Drosophila melanogaster: one gene and its partner. The protein of the gene in region 2 purifies or fractionates together with the protein of the main gene of each other region. This does not show direct contact. Each region holds a gene or a part of one and is shown on either strand. Other genes may lie near its edges.

Region 1 (7,766 bases), on a different chromosome or scaffold from region 2:
TACTTTAAACTTTAATGTCTTGGATGTTGTCTTGTATAGGGGCGGCTTGCAATATATCGGAGGAACTCGAACCTTATTCTTAAAGATCATTAAGCTGTAGCACATTAAAAACTTTCTTAACTATAAAAACTATATTATTAAAGGAACACAAGAGTGTTCTGAATGATTTATTTGCGATATAAAACATATTAATCGTATCCGCCATTATGTTGCAGGAGTAAAGATCGGACCAATTAAAGCCAGCTATAAAATTGTTTAGCCTACGAAAATTTGCCTTGCGAAAACAGTGAATTCGCTTGGTTGACTTCTCTGAATTTACTTATACCTTACCTATGTCGATTGCCACCTCGAAAGTAGGATATGGATCTTGAGGTTGAGTAAGAGGGTCTACCCTGGACAGAAACACACTTTCAGGACTTGTTACAAAACATAGATCCAACAGTCGACCAAGAGAGTTTGGAATATAATTAACTAGCGACAAAGATAAGTCGAGCAAGCCGTCAATAAAGTCATGTTGTGCTAAAGGGAGAAGGATATTCGATTTTTCTTCTGGGGACCCCGTTGTGCCAGGTATATTAAAATCACCTAGAACTACCAATTGGTCCCTGTCAGACAGTTTATTCAAGATGGACTGGATATCGGACAGATGATTCTTATATTCTGGGAATTCAGAAGATGGCGGAATATACGAGCACGTAATATAAACTGAACTGTCGGAAAATTACAGCTTTACACATAAGAATTCCGAGTTACGGGAATCGCCCAAAAGTAACTCTTCTGACGAGAGGATAGATCTAACCGCAATTAAGACTCCACCTCCCCGTCTGGAGGGACGGTCATACCAAAGACACTACAATGACAAGATGCGTAACGGCCATACATTGGTTTGGCACTATGCAGCCGCCACTTTTTTGGTGACGGCCAAAATTGCTCTCTGTCCGCTAGCTTACGCCGAGAGCGTAAGAAATCTTAAAATAGAACTTGCTTGCTTGTGCAAGTAAAAACAAGAGACGAGAACGCGTATATGTGTGCGTGTTGTTCTAGAAGACGATTTCGGGCCGAAAATTTTAGTGCCTTTGATCTGTCCCTAGCGTAAGAGAAGTTACACTTTTCCACTTTTATATTATCGGCTTTTGTTTTGTCTTGTATATAAGACAATACATCAGACAATGTTTCATCACGGGAAAGCCGAGAAACGAAAATTTGTTTATTTAGTGGAACCACCGCGAGGGGTTTTGGTCCTGCAGATTGTATTTCTGAAGTGCCAACTTGTGCCGTTAGTCCGGACTCAATGTTCCGTTGTGGTGGTAAACTAATCGGGACAGGTGGAATCACTGGTTAAGAAACCAGTGCAGGCAATTCGGAATTTTAAGCAATCACAGGTTGGGGTCAAACTGCACAAATCACAAAAGAATCACTCGCGAAGCGAACGGATCTTTAATAATTATGTTTAAAATATTTGATAATTAAAAAAGATTATTAAAAACCACGGCTGGTTGGACAAACACGAAATAAAAATCGGGTCGCAAAAAAAAAAACACGAACGTTCGCTTTGAAAGCTAATAGACTTTTTGAAGGCTTAATTATTAACATTGTATTTATACAGGGATAAGAGAACCTCACATTGGAGTTGATTAGGTTCGGGGATTGAATCTTAATACATTTAATTTAATTATTCTCAGCTTGCAAACCAGTTTATCGACAAGTAAGAAACGATGTTCCGGTTCCGCCTGATAAACAGCTACATCTTATATTGCATGTCGTCTAAACCCTTGAAGTTAGAGCTCCTTGTCTTCGTATCATAGATATGTATTGTGAGGAGTCTTAAAACTCCCCACAAATCCGGGGAGCACCAGCGAAGAAGGCGAAGGTTAAAGTCAGCTCTAACAGGAAATAGTGGATCTTAAACCCTGGTAAAGCGGATGCCGTGAACTAACGGTACCGCGCTGAACCTTGGACTCGAGCCAGAAATCAGTGAACTTTTAGTGGCCATGGAAAAAAAATGTTTGGCAACTCAATAAAAATTTACAAGACTAATGAAAAAAAATATCAAAAAATTTTGCAAAAGTGTGGGTGTGGCAGTTTTGGGCGGTTAGAGTAGGCGTGTCAACGCGTGGTTGAAAATACGAAGGAAACTATTCCTTTCTTGTAAGCAAAGAACAGCTGGCAAAACGCGAAACTAGAGTTTATTCGTACTATATAGGGTTGATAAAAATCTATTATCTTACCTTAATGTTATTTATATATTATAATGGAAATTATATTGGTAGTCATCTTTCTCTTAGATACATATGCTCCATAAGACTTGAAATATATAACAACACTTTTGTTGATATGATAGTTATCATTGCAGTGAAAGCCCTAATCCGAATGGCAGAACTTGTTTGCATTGCTGCAGGCTGCTCACCTGTACCAATGAAATATTTAAAAACATATTAAATTGAAATAATTTTATGTTTACCAGTTAATACGTGAACCCTAACAGAAGCTGGAATGGCTCCATTTGGAACGCATGTATAGTTTCCAGAATCCCTTAATGAAGCTCGCGTTAGCATCAATCGACTCGTTGTTCCTACATCAGTTTTTTCCGTTTCTAAACTTATTCCACCGCGAAGTGAATCGAAGTCAACAACTGATGAGCCATGATACCTTTGATATAGTAAAATAAGTTGTTAAAATCTCTTACAAAGATCATGGTTTCTTACCAAATCACAGATGGTGCATGTATATTAACAGAGCAAGCCAGGGCAATAGTGCTATCCCGTTTTACATGAATTTCCGTAGATCCAAGAATTTTTGCTCGAGCCGCTTTAAAATATCACAGATAATTTTAATTTTAAGCAAGCTATAAAAGGCCTTACACTTTGTGTCGTAAAACCGCTTCTTAGTTTTAAGGTCTTGAAAGTCGTTGTCAGCTAAAATTTTATACAAAAGTAAATTTAGTATGAGTAATTAAATTAATACAACATTTTCTGGGGGTAAGCATATTTATGAACTCTTCCAGGTGAAATTAAAACCTGAATCAAACAAAAACCAGAGAATGAGACCCAAGTCGGTCCGAGAATTTTTAACATCTTTCAAGAATATCGATTGAACTTGGGAAAAAAGTTAATTTTAATTCCCTAAGGTGTGGGCGGGATAGATTTGGGCGTGTTTTATGGTTCAAAGTGGGCGTAGGTAAAATGTTTTCGGCATATCGGTAGAAATTAGCAAACCAACTGATTTGTGGGAGTTAGAGTGGGCCTGGCAGTATGTCTGTAGAATCTGTATGCTAATCTCAAACTTCTAGCTTTTATAGTTCCTTAGATCTCGACGTTCATACGGACGGAAGGACATACTCGGGTATTTATCCTGAATATAGTTGGAAACGCTTCCTTCTGTCTATTACATTAAAAGTAATGATTATAAAAACTCCTCGACTTTCATGTACCGTGCGGGTAAAGTTTTTGGTCGGTTCTTAAGTAGGAAAGCTCAACTTTCTTTATCAAGTTCTTTATCAAGAAAATGTAGATCAATTCTCAATATTTAGTTAGTTAGTTGTTAAAAAAGCTGAACGCATGTCAACTGTGAAAATTGACTGATTTTGTTGCTTTCTAACTTAAAATCGCGAATTTTCGAAAATGTGTTTAATATCAAAAGTCGGGGAATTTTTTGTAAAATTATCAAAAGAGTCAAAAGGTTCCTTTTGCTGCAGTCTTTAACCTGTTGAATTTAGATAAAATAGGTTTAAACAGTATAGATAGCATTTGAATATGCATTTCCAGCTATTTATTGCCCAATACTCTAGACTCATTACTTTACTAATTTGTGTTCAGATTTAAAATTTTTAATTGCCAAGACTTGTTGATTTCTGCCTCTTGATTTCTGTATTATTTGTTATGGTCGCTCAACGACAAAATTTAGTTTTGTATATACAGTACTCGAGTTCCACAGTTATTATTTTGTTTTTTTTTTTTTTGTTTGTTAATAAATGTTTATATATATACCTATTACTTGCAAACAAATTGCTAAATTTATTTTAGGCTCGGTATTCACTTGACACTCATATACGCCACTGTCTCTTGGCTGTGCATAATCAATTTTTAAGTCCCAATCTTCACTGCCTGGTGGATGTATTACAGAAAATCGTTGATCGCCGGTGTAAGTATAAATGTTCGTTGTAAGAATGTGAAGATCCCGCTTACGCATCCATGATACCTGAAATAATTAAAAGTATTTATAAGAAATATTAAATAGATACGCAATTTTAGGACAAGGGAAAGTTAAGTCCTCCGCTATCTGATAACCCTTTCACTATTTCAAAATGTAATCATTTATTCCTAATCCTATTTGTTTAGATATAGGCAAGCTTGCTAGAGAAACATGAGACTTAAAAGAATTTTTCACATTTTCAAATTGAGAACAGGCCTCGAAACAAGCTTGATCGATGGAAATGGAGGCAAGTTCCCACGTAGATTTGGGAGGAGAGTTGAAAAGGGCTAGCGAAAAGACAGCGCAAGCTAGCAATCCTTGGGAGAAAACTGCCTTTAAAAAATAAAACGTTTTCCTGGTGTGTCCCCAAGTTTAGTTTGAAATTTAAGGTTACTTCCCCCTCAAACAATTTTCCGTCACTAATTCGTACAGTCGTACTTTTTACCATGTGACCGAATGTGCTCTTCAAACGAATAAAAATGTTTCGATATAATCCTATGTGTAAGAATAAAAGAAAGAACCCATAATGACTTACCGTGCGATTTCCTTTATTTTTAACCCGACATCTTAATATTGCGATTTCGTCGACTACGGCCGACACATTTCTTGGGCTAATATCATCAAAGAAAGGTCGCTCCAAATTGGTTAGGTCTAAAATGAATTTGTATTTTATGTTAAACGAAAACGGATGCTAAATTATTCAAGCCGAAGCGTATATACCCTTGCAGGTATAAACTAAAAATAATTTTATATGCCCCTTATCTAGAAGCTAAACATTTTAATTTAAAGTTTCGATCTTTTTATGGACGGAAGTGTCGGTCAAGACTAAGAGCTTGCGACAACTATATATACATGCGCGAAATCTTTTGCGATAGGTCGATCATAAAGAGTGGTTACACTTGTTGGTGAAAGAGCTTGGGGCGAGACATGAAACTGTTGTCATCTTTTAGAAACCGAAGCTCCTCTCGAAGGATGTTTTGCAAAGCAAGCTTTCAGGTGGTAAAAATACTATGGGCAAAATGCAATATTAAGATTATTTTTTAGATTTAAATTTAGCATAATTTAAATACAATGGCTTTTTAAACATAATACTTTTGCGTATAATTTCACAATTGAATATTGTTAAGTACAATACGTACATACATGTATAATTTTTGTCTTCGTATTCAGGAATGCATTATATGTTTTCATTCTACACGTTGCAGAAGAAAATGGGTCCAACCAAAATTAAAAAAAAAATCCCGCAAGGGTAAAAATATATTTATCATTCTAGTGGGAAACTTTTAATTTAAAATGTATCTTACCGTTCAGGCTTAAATATGAAGTTGCACTAATGTATTGACACCATATATTTAAATTCAAGACTAAAATAATGAATGGTTTGATTTTAATTGGCGAATTATTCAAGAATGTGGCATGTTTGCCACGCGACATGTTGCTTTAATTCATTTGTCTTTCACAGATATGCATTATTTAGAGTAGAATTCCATATACCTATGTAGTTATAATAAATGTTAAGTATATAATTAAGTTAGATATTAAGCACACGCGAGAGCACGTATTGGCGCAAGATTTTTATTGAGAACAACTTTGTATCGGCATCGATTTTTTATCCTTTTAATGGACTTTCAAATAATATTCTGTTTTTCGGTATTTAGATCTGTGTTTTTAATATACATACAATTATACTTGCTGGCTTCAATTTTTATATACTTTTTTTAGTCTTTACACTTATTTCGTTGGCATCGACAATTATTATTTCAACGGTAAGCTCTAACAACCCCTAAGCAGCACGTTTTAGTGTTTCTGTGAGGACGACTTGTATACAGATTTTTAATATTCTGCAACCCTGAAAATATTCGCGCATGCCCATTGTCACATATGTACATATGTGTTATCTTACAATTTAGGATAGATTCTATATATTTATAGATTGCGTAGGTTATAATTATTTGTATGTATATATTTTTTAATTTTAACATTTTGAAGTCATATACTAAGTACTCTAGTTTCCTTTTATTGCTAAGACTCAGTAACACGGCTTAATAATATAAGCAATGGGCGGAATACAAATGGTACACATCAATTTGAGACTGAGATCAGATAAACGTGACAATAGCACCTTTACCCCTTAAATTTCGAACAAATTTGTTACTACTGACAGTTACATTCTCAAAAACGGTAATGGTAATGTAAGCATACATTGTGAATTTATCCTAAAAAAATGCATAAGTTATTATACCAGTTACTCGTAAATTTAAATGATATAGAAAAGGAAACGTTACCCGTTACTCGTAGAGTAAAAGGGTATACTAAAATCGTTACAAAGTATGTAACAGGCAGAAGGAAGCGTTTCCGGCTACATAAATTATATGATATTATTATATTATATACATTTTTATTCTTGATCAGGATCAAAAACCGAGTCGATCTAGCCTTATCCGTATGAACGCCGAAATCTCAGGAACCATAAAACCAAGAAGGTAGAGATTTAACATACAGCCCATATTTTAAAAAAATTGTTGGATGTTGTTCCAATATTTTATTATTCTTGTACATTTCTATCGATTTGCCAAAAAACTTTTAGCCCCGCCCTAAAGCCCCAAACCGGTCACGCCCACTCTACTATTATTATTAAATAGTATTAACTATTATTAATTTTTTTGTCATTTTATTCCCCAATATCTATCGATATCTCAGAAAAATGATAAAATTCCGCGTTTGCATTTACACTAGCTGAGTAACAGGTATCTGATAGTCGGGGAACTCGACTATAGCATTCTCTCTTGTTTTAGTTTTAAGTTGACTTGTTTGAAAATTAGTGTAAGTTAGTTTAGTTCACATAAAGTTCAGTTTCGCTCCCTTAAAAACTGTCACCGTCCTTGTTAACATCTAGGTGTTTCCTTTTGAAAATCAATTCTTAAATTCAAAATGTAGCTTCACACAGATAGAACTATAACTTTTCAACTAGCAGCTTGCACAGAGCATGACACATACATAAGGCCAATTATTCGCTTCGGACTAAACATCTGCAAAAGTGTATAATTTGTTTTCCTTATAGAAGGCAACACCATTTCAGGTCAAGGTATTTACATGAACCTAATGTAATGTCTCATCAGCTCTACCGCAATAGTAGTATTATTCTTAAATAACAGTACATTAATTGCAAACGAAAATACAAATTCCAATTGAATTTAGGTTTGTCCGGTATAAGCACGACAATTGGGATAACAAGGTATTATGAAATTGTATACATATGTTTTTGTACAAATCTTGTTTGTAAATATAAACTTAAAAAGTAAGAAAAGTAAAGAGTTTGTTTTCAGAACGTGTATATGTATGCACATTAGTCGATCACAAGCGGGATGCTCTTGTACCATAAATACATTCAAAAATAATATCTCGTGAACTTCGAAATATTTTTATGTTTTTTTTTCTGAAAATAATGTTCTCTTATTATGTACACGCTATCTCGCCAGGCATTTTGTGCTATTTTTCGAGGTTTAACAGTGTCTAAATAGAAAATAAATAGTATCAATAATATGACATATAAAAATTAAATAACAAATAAATAA
Region 2 (4,822 bases):
CATCGTTGAACATAACGTAATATTTCATTAAAGTGTATTTGTTCTTGAATAATTCTAATATGTAATCTCTTTGATTTTAATTTAAAATAATCAACTTTCTTTCTTCGAGTGTAGAGCTAACCCTTTTGGTAAAAATGATTTGTGGCTCCAGTGCATTGGCACGCAATGAAAAGTTTTCGATGGAGAAATGGAGCGGGATAGATAGTTCCTTCCAGGGACGCTTTATAAATCCTTTTTATACGTCATAAAATCTGTTATTGGTGGGTTTCTACTGTTTCCATCGCTATTATTTATTGGTCGTGTGCGTGTGTTGTGCGAAATTATATGCCTGTTATAAAGACGCGATAGGGAAAGGGGGCGGGAGTTGATTAGCTCCCGAAATATATATATATATATATAAGTATATATGAGCAATTTAGAGTTGCAGAGGGCGGTGGCCAGGTCAAAACGGTGCCTGACACAATGTGGCACGGTTATTGAAAAGCGACTGGCTGGTGTGCGTGTGTGGGTGGGTGACTTTCCTGCCTCGCTTGTTGCACTTGCCACACATAATGGAAATCTCCAAAGAAAAGTTTCACCAAGCAGAAGAAATTTAATTAAATAATGTATCATAGCGAACGGACTTTGAAGCATTTTTGAATCGATCGCAGTCAATTTTTAGTTGCATATTTCAAAGTATTGGGGGCACTAATATATTTAATAACAATCAAAACTGACTCGGAACGATGCAGGCGAATTTTATTAAATAATATTTCATGCTGAACGACTTTGTTATATCGTTTTATATAAATAAGACGGCCTAGTAAAGCACTAATTTAATTTTAAAAATTTTATTTCAATTCTTAGTTGGAAAGAACTTTGTTTCTGCATATATACTACAAATTATATCGTTAGAAAATTTTTGTTTGAGAATTTCAAACAGATTTCAGTTAGATGTAAGATTGGCCTTAGTTACGTCTTTAAATTTATGGAAACTATTTCTTGCGAACCATTGAAACATTGTTTTTTATCAATACATACTTAAATTTAAAGCATAATTTTCTGATAATGATTGATTTATATTAAATGAATCCCGTAAAAGAGATCCAAAATAGAAGACAGCGAAAGATCATCTTGCAGATGGCTTCCATTCCATTTTCTTCTACCTACAAGTCAAAATATATAGTATTTTCCTATGGCAATAATCTGTTGTACTTATTGCAGTTGTCAGAATTGCAAGTGATAATTCCCTCTCTCATATTCAAGCGCCACGACCAATGACAATTCATTTCTTCATCTCACACAGTTACTTACTATCAGCACCCCCTCTCACCATCACCATCCCTTCACCCAACCCAAAAAGGGTTAACCCTTTCCTTTGCCACAGATTTCATTCATAAATGCGAGCCACCAGTTTCACGCGCCCAAAAGTATGGCGAGAGAATTTCCCAGGCTTTCAATGCCATTCAATTCGTATTCAACCGAGCCGAGAGCGCGCCCCCCATTGGGCAGCACACGCACACACACACGCGCAGAGCATGTTAGGAAAAAAGAAGCACCACGAAGTGAAAAGCGCCCGCCAACAAAAAGCAAAATAAAATGTGGCCCAGCAACAACAAAAATCACAGTTGTCTGATTCGTTCGCGAGGCCGCTGCCCACCCCCCGGGCGCCCACTAAAAAACACCACCCACCCACTGGGGCGCCCACACTCCCCCCAAAACCCCCCAAAACGACGACGATTCGCCAAAGGAGCATCTTCGGCATCGCTCGGCAGTCGCTGGGAGTCGTTCCACGCGACTTTGGTGGCCCTCGGAAATGCTGGCTTCAGTACATCGACGGCGCTCGGTTCGTGCGGTTGGCCTTTAGTCCTTCGAATCCTGCTGCATACAAGCAAGCAGAATCCCTAACGGAATCGCGTGTGTTTTTTGCCGCCAAGTGTTGCATTCGTGCTGCAAGTGAATCGAAGTGATGCTGTAGACGCCATGAGTGACTTGTGCTGAGCGAATTTCTCGACAGGATTTAAAAAAAAAAAAATCAGGACAGCTCAGCCGCAGGACATGTGCAATTTGGAGTTTCACGAAAAATACAAGATTGCCAAGAAAATGCTCTGAAAAAGGTTGTTATGCTGCAGCTATTAAGTTAAATGCGAACTTCCATTAAAATCTGCATGCAAGACTATTGAAAGAAAGCAAGGAATCCTTTTTCTAATCGCTGGCTGTGATTGCGGCCAGTGAAGGCATTCGAAAATAGTTTGGCAGCGATTTCGGCCAGGTCAAATCGACAACAAGTAGAATTCGCTCGCGTGTTGAGTCGCGCGCGTTTTTAGCCGCTTGTTGGCAATTTAGCCGCGATTTTGGCGACATTTGCCGTCAGCTGCGTGTTTGCTGTAATTATATTTAAAGTAAAAACAAAGCCCGAGTTATTTATGAAGCAACAACAATCGGGCCACCCTCGGCGGTCAATGCTCGTCACATGATTTGCCATTCCAGCTGCATGCGTGTCTGTGTGTGTGTGTGTGTGTATCGTGAAATTTGCCTACAAATGTGAATGTGTCTGGCGCGCCACTCGACGCTGTTTATTACGAGTGTCCCCGTATGGCAGGAGTGCACTGTTTAGGCCACATGGGCAACAATTGCATATTTTATGTTTCACGGCTGCCCGAGTGTAATTTAAAGTTCATTGATATCCATAAAGCGCAGGACAAACCCTCGACGCTTCATGCCAATTTGCTGTCTAGCTGGCTAGCCATTTGTTGCAAATATGTTGCAGCGCTTTTGGGACGAACCGGAAATAATATGTGTACAGTGTACACTGTACAACCCACATTCGGTGGTTTTCCCCCGGGGTGGCATGATGGTGCCTGTTTTCGATTTATGGCGTTTCTCTATCATTTGCATTTTACATATAATTTCTGATCAGTTGTTATCTGCTCGATTGTGATTTCAGTTGGCGCCCACAGCCGAATGTGCACTGTCTACTGACGCTCCAGGTGGGGCCGAGTGGTATACATATATGTATATTATGGAAATTAAAACATGTTGACTCAAGATTGAAAACCCTGTTGTTCTGCTGCGAAATCGTAATCCCCTTAATCCGAATTCCCCCGCCTGCTCCGGTATCAATTGCATAAGAAGAATTCCAATTGCCCCCGGAGCGATAACGAAATGGTTGGCAAGGCCTCGTCGTTCAGTCGGCTTGACATAATGGCCGGCATGTGAGGAGTTGGATTTTTCCTGCCATTGTTGTTGCTGTTGTTAATAACAAGCGATAATAATCAACTTCCGTGCTGGAAAGCGAGCGGAGGAGAAAATTGTGAAAAACCGAGCGAAACTCTGATTTCTAGAAGGCGCTGCCAGCCTGAACACTATGAGTTATGCAAATTTTATGCAAGGTCCGGTTAACTGGGCTGCCCTTTTCTGGGCCGGATTAAAAAAAATTTAAAAAGCTAGACGGCGAATAATTCTGAAAAATGTCGAAGTGGCATCGCGATAGAGCGGGATATTTATCACGTGTTAATTAATGTTTGCGCTGGAAATTGAATTTAAAGTATAGCTCGAGAAGTCTGGTAGTAGTAGCGAATGACATTTCAGTTGAAGCTTCTACATGTCAGCATTATTGTTTTAAAGGGAAAAATGCAAAAGGTGCTTCAAGCAAACTGTCGGGGGGGTTACTGAAAATTTGCCATAATTCAGCAGCTGATTATACACATTGAAGCGTTGGAGAAAAAGGGACCGTGCATGTCCGAAACCATAAAAATAATATATGGCTTGAACACTACAAAGGTGCCATGAGCACCTCTTATTATTTGTCATAAATATTTTCTTTTTTTGCTTTTTCATAAGTTGTACTTAAAGCTGGTAACAAAATAAGTACAGGAAAAGGATTTAGAAACATCCAAATTGAAATAAATTACACATTTGCTTGGAAAATTGCTTGTGGTCAATTTAGGCATTCATCACATTGCTCGATTGAATTTTCGCTTTGTTTAAATACTTTCCATTATTTATTACAAAATATTTTCAATTTTATATAATTACAGAAGAATGTGAAACACAATATATATTATATATGCTTGAATGAATGAAGATATTTTGTCAGTGTAGGCTGTTGTGCCAATTTAGAAAAGCAAAACTTTTAACTCGTGATAATTAATAAACATCAGTGATCTACATCGCCATCAATATCCAATGGCACCAAACATCCAAGAGCTGCCCACCAGAAGCGGGAAGGTACTTTCGACACAATCGCCTCGATATGGCTTCGGATTGTGGTCAGGCCGTGGGCCTGAAGCCTGAAGCCATCACCTGTCCCTGACTCCGAGTCCGACTCCTGACGTGGCCCGCATGCTCTAAATTATTAATAATATTGCCAGGCCCATTTGCTAGACATTTTTAGTGCCTACCGCCGTTCCAGGCCAACCGCCACCCCCTCCCTGTAACCATTTGCAGTGCTGTCGTTTGCCTGTTGTCTTTTGTAGTCTACTTTTCTGGGCATGCAATGCGGATTTAAATGTGTGAGTGTATGGGTGTGTGTGTGTATGTGTGTATGACAAAGGACACATAGCACACATGCCGGCAACTTTGCTTTCAATTCCGCTAAATTATGAAAAAATCAATACGAACTCGAAGGGAGGGGACAAGGAATTTTAATGAAATGTCAGTTTAAAATGGTTCCTGTCAGTTTGCGGCCGCCAGAAAGTAGACTTTTATTTTTCCAAAACCCGAAATCGTTTGCATGTTCAGGCTCATGGCCGAGTCAGCTGGAAAGTTAATCAAGGTTCCCCAATCATAAGGGCGGACTTTCGAACATATTGATATCTGCGTCTGGCAGCAGGCACCCTTC

Evidence for each region.
Region 1: the proteins of DIP-eta (region 2) and dpr7 purify together in Drosophila melanogaster (affinity purification with western blotting; 2 studies listed by BioGRID). This does not show direct contact.

Annotation. Positions count from the first base shown.
Region 1 is NC_004353.4:247,329-255,094, forward strand, and holds the start of dpr7 (defective proboscis extension response 7), read right to left. Parts: upstream 6,002-7,766; 5' UTR 5,873-6,001; exon of another isoform or gene 5,686-5,872; 5' UTR 5,626-5,685; coding exon 5,496-5,625; intron 5,384-5,495; exon of another isoform or gene 5,383-5,383; coding exon of another isoform or gene 5,331-5,382; intron 4,843-5,330; coding exon 4,727-4,842; intron 4,198-4,726; coding exon 3,987-4,197; intron 2,916-3,986; coding exon 2,862-2,915; intron 2,809-2,861; coding exon 2,706-2,808; intron 2,650-2,705; coding exon 2,462-2,649; intron 2,408-2,461; coding exon 2,271-2,407; 3' UTR 2,229-2,270; intron 1-2,228.
Region 2 is NT_033779.5:5,614,929-5,619,750, reverse strand, and holds the start of DIP-eta (Dpr-interacting protein eta), read left to right. Parts: upstream 1-1,804; 5' UTR 1,805-2,096; intron 2,097-4,089; exon of another isoform or gene 4,090-4,521; intron 4,522-4,822.